Linked DNA regions of Oryctolagus cuniculus. The protein of the gene in region 1 interacts with the protein of each later gene in a pairwise test. Links are inferred from orthologs where the notes say so. Each region holds a gene or a part of one and is shown in the gene's direction. Other genes may lie near its edges. The genes, in order: PPP3CA and AKAP5.

Region 1 (3,813 bases):
TTAACAGGAAGCTGAAGTCAGGAGCCAGAGCTGGGTATTGAACCCAAGTTCTCCACTGTGGGGCTGAGACATCTAAACCACCAGGCCATATGCCTATCCCAATAGTTACCTCTTTAAAGAGAGTGCTTGATTTTTAACTTATGAATTATTTATTAAACATTTCTAATTATACTTTTACGTTATTATATTTTCACTTCCGGTATATTTTCATTTTAGACATCTTCCTTTTTCTTTTTCTTTTATTCTGAAATAGCCTTTCCAAGTTTCCCCAGGCCATGTAATTTTACTTTTGTTAACCATAGGTACTTCACTGTTTTCTTGTGGTCTGTGATCCTCAGTGCATGGGTATTTTAAGTGCAGATGAACCTTTGTTTTGTACTAATCATTGTTTTCTGTTTGATTATCAATATCCTCCATAGTAAGGCCTAACCTTTTCGGGATTTATGTTCATGATAACACACATGATTCATGATATGTGAGTAGAGGAATGTATAAGAATATAATGGTTAGTAATTATATCATTTTTTATGTTTCCCAGTGTGTGCTGTATTTGTGGGCTTTGAAAATTCTTTACCCAAAAACACTGTTTTTACTTCGTGGAAATCATGAATGTAGACATCTAACAGAGTATTTCACATTTAAACAAGAATGTAAGTATATTTCATGCCTGTTCCTTTAACACTTTGTGTGCTAAGTATTTTAATTCATAAGTGCATGTTACATTATGATGCATTGTCTGAAGTGTCACTATTTCATGTTGTCCATATTTCTGACTAAGCATGGACACTTATGAGAATGCATAATTTCTTTTTAAATTACAAATTCTCTATAAAATAAATTATTATTTGGCATAATTTATGCTAAGAAGCCAGTGATTAACTTGTTTAATAGAGTCAGATTACTACTATTGGGGATAATAAATCTATGTTTTCATCTCATATCACTCAAGAGAAGCAAATGGAGAGTGGCAAATGAACTCTCCCTCTATTTTTGGACACCAATAGATTAGAGCCACTAGTGTATTTTACAAAGGGTAGATGACTTCTTCCTTAGATCGTAGAAGTGGGGAATACTTGGTATAAATGTCACTTACCTCCTCTTAATTTTCCCTGTTGTCCACGGAAATTTGTTTCCCTGTAATTGAGTCCTGTTTTCAATGAAGCATTAATTTCTTCTCTTAAAACATTTGATATAAATCGATAAAAGAAAAGCACTAGGCTGTGAGCTAAAAGCAACTCAAGAGATTTCCTACCATCTGTTCTTAAAGTCACTAAGAACTACTGACTAGATTTTTGTCCATCTTTCTGTTGATCTCATTATCAGTATCTTTTAGTTTTGTGCTGTATCTGTAGATAAACAGCCAGAAGATATAAAAAAATTCTCTCATTTGCTATACAGAAAGTTATGAGAAAATGTGAAATATGGGTAGATGACAAAAACAAGCAACATTGGATATAGAAGCTAATATGCAAATCATTAAAGTGTTATTTGGTTATGTTTTGGAAGTTTGCAATGTGTAGTTTTATGCTAATAATAAAATGCCTGGTAAGAAAACATAAAAAAAATTTAGTGAAATGATCTTAGCTGTGAAATGATAAAGTAAATATTTGCTTTCTATTGTGCTTTAAAAGGTAAAATAAAGTATTCAGAACGTGTCTATGATGCCTGTATGGATGCCTTTGACTGCCTTCCCCTGGCTGCCCTGATGAACCAACAGTTTCTGTGTGTACATGGTGGCTTGTCTCCAGAGATTAACACCTTAGATGATATCAGAAAAGTAAGTTCTGTAATCTTCCAGGTCTCCTCATTTGGTGTGCTTCAGTAATAAGTAGAAGACATAATACCCTGCCTTTATCACTAACTTTATGTTTTTGAATTAAAATGATTGAAGTAACCATAAATCTCTTCTCTGTGTTAAATTTTTACCTGGAAAGGAAGATATGTTTATACTTTTCTTCTCTAACACCTTAGGATTCATGGTACCATATGACATGTTATTGGAAATATAAAATATTTGGTCTCTAAAAATCATGCCTTTTATTTCCATTGGCTTTTCCAAGCAATCCATTGTATATCCATAATATATCATCTCAAAAATGTTGCTTTGCCCTTGGGAAAAATACCATAACTTGACCCTTAAAAATGTGTCCATATTATGCTTTTTGCAGTGGAGGATGGCCCAAGTGCTTGGGCCCTGCACCCCATGGGAGACCAGGATAAGTACGTGGCTCCTGCCATCGGATCAGCGCGGTGCGCTGGCCGTGGCGGCCATTGGAGGGTGAACCAACGGCAAAGGAAGACCTTTCTCTCTGTCTCTCTCTCTCACTGTCCACTCTGCCTGTCAAAAAAAAAAAAATGTATTCATTACAGCTCAAAACTTTTAAGTGACAGTCTAACAAAGGAAATTATGTTAAGCTATTGATTGTATTGAGTGCCTAGGTGAAAAACAGTTTATGGGTTTTTGTTTGTTTGTTTTTTAAGATTTATTGTATTTATTTGAAAGACAGAGTTACACAGAGAGGTAGAGACAGAGAGAGAGGTCTTCCATCCACTGGTTTACTCCCTAAATGGCCACAACAGCCTGAACTGCACAGATCCAAAACCAGGAGCCAGGAGCTTCTTCTAGGTCTCCCATGTGGGTGCAGGGGCCCAGGGGCTTGGACCATATTCTACTGCTTTCCCAGGGCATAACAGAGAGCTGGATCAGAAGTGGAGCAGCCAGGTCTCGAACTAGAACCCATATGGGATACTGGCGCTTCAGGCCAGGGCTTTAACCCACTGCACTACAGTGCCGGCCCCCAGTTTATGTTTTAAAAAGCGTTTTTCTACCTAAATTGTCATTGGCTGTGTCTGTTTTACCAGCAAAAAGGTAAGTGAATTAGATTGGCTGTAGAAGTGAATTTAAAAAAAAAAATTAGAAAAATGTAGGATATATAGGATAGTTTCCTGTAGTACAAGTGATAATATTTTATTTCCTTATTTATGTTGATAATCGATCAGTACAACAATGTAAAGAAAAACATGAGCAAACAGGGTAATAAAAAGGTCCACATATTTTCCTTGGTGTGAAAATCCCCAAAGAGATTCATCTTTGTACATGTTTTCTCAAGTTATCTTAAAATAATATCATTGGAATTATTTTAAAATATGATAATTTGTTCACATTAATGTTTATAACAGTTTTATGAAATTGTTAGTGTTCACCACCTACATATTGCTCTTTGAAATTTGAAATAAAGTTTTTGTCTATAATTGGAAACCGTTTGAAAGCTAGATATTATAGGACCTTCTTTACTCCACTTTTAGAGTAGAAAATATGCTTTAATGTATCCCAAAGAGAAGAAACATGGACATGATTATAACTTTTGTTATCACTTTTGCCAGTACTTTTAGCAATAAATTGGTCACATTATTCTAAATTAATTCATTTGAAATATGAAACCCAAGATTTTCCTGAGTTTTAGTATAAAGCTACATACTATTTAATATTTACTCATTTAAGTCTAATGTATTATAAATGGATAGACTTCAAAAAAATCATGCACTAATCTCAATGAGTACAGAATTTATTAGAAAAGTACAGGAAGTCTTAGGAATAATCATGGACACAATTTACATTCTGGCTATTGCTTATTAAGAACCATTCTTATGAAGAACCCCTTGGTCTCACTTCTCTAAGTGACTGCCAATGAATTGTTTTTCCATTTGACTTTGAACACAGTACTGCTACGTCCTAAGAATCTGTATGTTGAACCTTGTATAAGTTTATTTTGTCAGCTGCCTTGAGTTATTAGTAGTATTTTTCCATTGTGT
Region 2 (4,499 bases), on another chromosome or scaffold:
AGCACTTGGACCACATTCCCAGGTGCATCAGCAGGGAGCTGAAATGGAAGTGGATCAGCCAGGACTCGAACCGGCATCTCTGTGGGATGCTAGTGTTGCAGCTGGTGCAACTCCCTACACCACCCACACAAATGCTTTATGTGTACAGATACATCTTCGGGGTACTTCTCATTCAGACTAGTGCATTGCTTAAAGGTTCAGGAACCCCATGCAAATGTAGAGCCTAGCCCATGCCAACGGTAGCACCTGCAGGGCACGGCCGTGCACTTGGCCGTGATGAGGACTGGTGCTGTACAATGTCCTCTCCTGTTGCCCACCCTCTGTCGATCCAGAGGGGCAAGGTTAAGCAGGATCTAGGGGTGTGTGAAGGGCGACGTGGGTAACGTGTAAGCATCTCAGCTGATTTGGGGGAATAAGCAATGTATAAAAGATAGGGAGCAGCCTCTGCGCCCCCTGGTCGAGTTGTCCGTGTCCGCACGGGAGCACTGCGCTCTGCTCTCTGCTCCGACTCCCGCTCTGACACAGCACACCCTGTGAGGCCCCAGAGGACGGCTCAGTGCCTGAGTCCCTGCCGCCCGCGCGAGACCCGGACCGTGCTCCCTGCTCCCTCGGCAGGCTTCCAAACAGGAAGCAGAGGTCTGAGCGCCCATTCGGCAAGGGACCGCGCTAACCTCCTTCCTCCCAAACCCACGCCAGTTTCCCTTCATAGGAAGGCGCTTCAGAATCTTCACAGGCAAAAGGAATTTAACGATGTTTATTTTGGTGCCAAAATCTTCAAAAACCGCACACATACAAGGGGGTCTTCAGCGAGTTCATGGAAAACGTATGTTATGAGAAAATTATGCGTGGCTTGAAAGCGTTTGCACCAAAATACACTTCTCTTTCAGTTCCATTTTTCCCGTTACTTTTTTTTAATGTTTATTTTTCACCTACTTGGGAAGTAGAATGACGGGGCGGGTGTGGGGGCGATATTCCATGCACCTGTTCATTCCCCAGCTACCCACAACAGCCAGGGCCCAAGCCAGGACCCCAGAACGCCATGGGGTCTCCCACCTGGGTGGCAGGGCCCCAAGCCCCTGGGCCATTACCTGCCGCCTCCCAGGTGTGCGTTGGCGGGAAGCTGCATGGCAAGCGGAGGAGCCCAGATTCCAACAGCGAGGCCCAGGGCAGCTTAACCCAAGGGGCACAACCGCCGCCCCTCCACGAACTTCTCGCAGCGGCCTGGGAACTGTCATTTTCTCTCCAGCAGACACCTCACTGCTCTGCGCAGGGTTTTCAGTTCTGCTTCTGGAAATGTGATAGCTGCCCTTCACGTTCAAGCTTGGGGCGGAGGGGGGTTGCAATGTGGGAAGAGCAATTTTTAAGACCGGGTTTGACTGCTGCTTGCCCCGTCTCCCCCGCATCTTCGGGCTCGCTCGCTCTCCCCTATGTTCTCCCGCCTTCGCCCCGCGGGGATCCGCTGCGGGGGTCCAATGGGGGGACCCGCTGCGGGGGACCGCTGCGCGGCCGGCGCACGTGGCGGGGCCCACGGCTCGCAGGCGGGGCCCCGAGCCCCGCCCCGGCGCCGCCCCCCGCCCGCTCCGAGCGCGTTGGCGCCGCTGCCTGCCTGTCCCCGCGCTGCTGGGGAGGGGGCGCTGCGGGGCCGCGGTCCCTGCGCTGCAGAGGGCTGCTGGCTGCGGGTGCGACTGTAGCTCGCCGACTGCCGGGGCGCGCCCCCGACCCCGGGAACGAGGCTGGCCGGGGACCGCTGCGCTCGGGGTAAGTGGAGGCAGGGCGGGGAGGAGGCTCCGGGGCAGTGTCCGGGAGGGTGGCCGGGCTGGCCGGCGGGGTGGGCGGGAGGTGGGCGGCGGGCGCGGGCTGCGGAGCGCCCCGAGGTGGCGGGCGCTCGTTGGTCAGCAGGAATCTGCAGCCAGGGCCGCCCCTGCCCACGCTGCCCACCCTCCCGCTTGGCGTTGCAGCGCGACCTGGAAGCCGGGGCTGCCCGGTAGCTTTTTCCTTCCTTACCGTCTTTTTTTTTTTTTTTTTTTTTTTGGTGGGGCGGGGGGAGGTAAAATGTGGTGATGGGTTCCTGGCCATTACCGTTTTGCAGCGAGCTCGAAGCTGGGTTCTCTGTTCACGCCCCCGGCATTTTCCTTTTTTGAGGACTTTATCCTGGGCTCTCTGTATCGTGCCAGAGGAGAGATTGACTCCCTGCAGGAGGAAGCGTCGAGGGCCCTGGCTGCTGCGGGGTCGTGGGTGCTCTGCTTTCTGCGGCGACGACAGCAGGGTCTCCGGAGGCTCCAGGGCGAGTCACCTGCAGAGGTCTCCTGTCTGCAGATTGAGCCCCCCCACCCACCACCCCCCACCCCGTCAGAGTGTGTGTGTGTGGCTGTTTTATTTCTGCAGTGTGATATGCATTCACCCGAGCGTCTCGAAGAAATTGTCTTTGAGAAATCCAGGTTAGTTGCAGATGACACATTCCTGAACATGATCTGACTTCAGTATTTCGATCAGGAATAACACCGTCTCCTTAATAAAAAGGCCCAGGGGCTGAGAACCCGCCAGAGGTGAGACGGCTTAGAGTTCTAACCAGCTCAGAGTCCAGCGCTTACCGCGGCATTAGGTGAGAGGGGCACCGGGAGACGTTTAGATTTGAATTCCATCGTGGTTCTAGAAGGATTCTTTCTGTTAGAGGTATGAAGGATGCAACCTAAGGGAATATTTGCTTAGGTTGTAAACGGATGTTCAGCGTTCCAGTTCTTTCTCAAGTTCATAGAATTAAGGGCTTCCTAAATGAGACACACGTGAGGGATTTGCATAAAAACAGTCTGAGGAAAGAGTCTCTTAGCTTATTTTAGGTCATATGACTTTTTTTCAAGGCCTCACTCCTTCTTTCTTGGGTGCCTGGGTAGCATTCTGTGGGTTCCTTTTCAAATGCACCTTTATGTGTACATGAAACTAATCTATTTGCTGATTGCATAGCTTGTCCGTTTATCTTAGGCTTTTTTTTTTTTTTTTTTTTTTTTTACTTAGTTGACCAAGACAGTAAAATATAAAGGATTTCAAAAGTTTGGCTTCAGAATAGCAAGAATTCGGTCTAGCCTTGGTTCGAGGCTGAGCTGATGGGCTGCGTTACGGTTAATAAAATGGCCGTTAAACACTGTTCAAGAATCTACATGAATGGTTCTGTTGCAGATTAGCCACTCCAGACAGTTGGTTTTCTGGTGAAACTCACAGAGCACCACCTCAGAGCACCAGGCTTCAGGAGCAGGCAGATCTGGACTGAATCTGAGCTCTGTTACCACTGTGCTGGGAAGTGTGGGGCCACTGCTTCATCTGTGCATGGTGAGAACGCCATCCACTCTGTAGTACGAGGAGACTTCAGAAACTATGGAAAATGCAATGAAAAGATGTTTATTTGTACACCAAAAAAAAAAAAAAAACCTTGAAATTCATGCATCATTTTGTCATTTTCATTTCCATGAAGTTTGTGAAGATCTCTTCTATATTTGTGGATTTCAATTTTTTGCACCAAACTTTTAATTTTTTACTTATTTCTTTAAAATGTTATGTGTTTGAAATGCAGAGTTGCAGAGTGAGAGAGATTTTTTTCCATCTGCTGATTCATTTCCTAAATGACTGCAATGGCTGGGCTGGGCCAGGTTGAAGCCAGGAGCCAGGAGCTTCCGGGTCTCCCATGTGGGTGGCAGAGGCCCAAGGAGTTGAGTTATTCTCCACTGCTTTCCCAGGTGCATGAGCAGGGAACTGGATTGGAAGTGGAGCAGCCAGGGCTGGAACTGGTACCCACATGGAATGCCAGCATTGCAGCCAGAGGTTTAATCCACTGCACCACAACGCCAGCCCCAAACTTATCTTTTTTAAAAAATGATTTATGAAGCAGAGACACAGAGAAAGAAGGCATGAACTTCCATCTGTTGGCTCACTTCCAAAAAGTCTGCAACGGCCAGGACTGGGTCCATTGAAGCTGAGATTTGGGAATGCAATCCAGGTCTCCTGTGTGGGTGGCAAACACTTGAACCACCACTGCAGCTTCCCAGGGTGCACATGAGCAGGAAGCTGGAGACAGGAGCCACGAAGCTGGTCTTCCAGCCCACATGGTTATCCCGAATGGTGTCCTAACCACTAGGCCAAGCCCCAGCTCCTAAACCAATCTTTTGATTTGAAGCCCTCTTACATTATAGTAGAGATTAGAGAAGTAACTATGATGCTTAGCACAGCCTAAGATGCAAAAGTTGCTCAATTACAAGGCTGGCACTGTGGCATAGCAGGTTAAGCTGCCGACTACGACACTGGCATCCCCTGCAGGCGCTGGCTTGAGTCCCTGCTGTTCCACTTCTGATCCTGCTCCCTGCTGATGTGCCTAAGAAGGAGGAAGATGGCCCGAGTGCTTGGGCCCCTGCATCCACATGGGAGATCTGGAGGAAGCTCCTGGCTCCTGGCTTCAGCCTGGTCCCAGTGGATGGCAGATCTGTTTCTACCGTTCTCTCTGTAACTCTGCC

What was found.
Region 2: the proteins of PPP3CA (region 1) and AKAP5 interact in binary tests that used the Homo sapiens proteins (3 or more experiments, as listed by UniProt). The link is inferred for Oryctolagus cuniculus from reciprocal best matches to the Homo sapiens genes PPP3CA and AKAP5.

Annotation. Positions count from the first base shown.
Region 1 is NC_091439.1:64,208,546-64,212,358, forward strand, and holds part of PPP3CA (protein phosphatase 3 catalytic subunit alpha), read left to right. Parts: intron 1-538; coding exon 539-650; intron 651-1,631; coding exon 1,632-1,777; intron 1,778-3,813. UniProt on the Homo sapiens protein: Calcium-dependent, calmodulin-stimulated protein phosphatase which plays an essential role in the transduction of intracellular Ca(2+)-mediated signals. Many of the substrates contain a PxIxIT motif and/or a LxVP motif.
Region 2 is NC_091451.1:5,986,807-5,991,305, reverse strand, and holds the start of AKAP5 (A-kinase anchor protein 5), read left to right. Parts: upstream 1-1,572; 5' UTR 1,573-1,758; intron 1,759-3,174; exon of another isoform or gene 3,175-3,324; intron 3,325-4,499. UniProt on the Homo sapiens protein: Multivalent scaffold protein that anchors the cAMP-dependent protein kinase/PKA to cytoskeletal and/or organelle-associated proteins, targeting the signal carried by cAMP to specific intracellular effectors.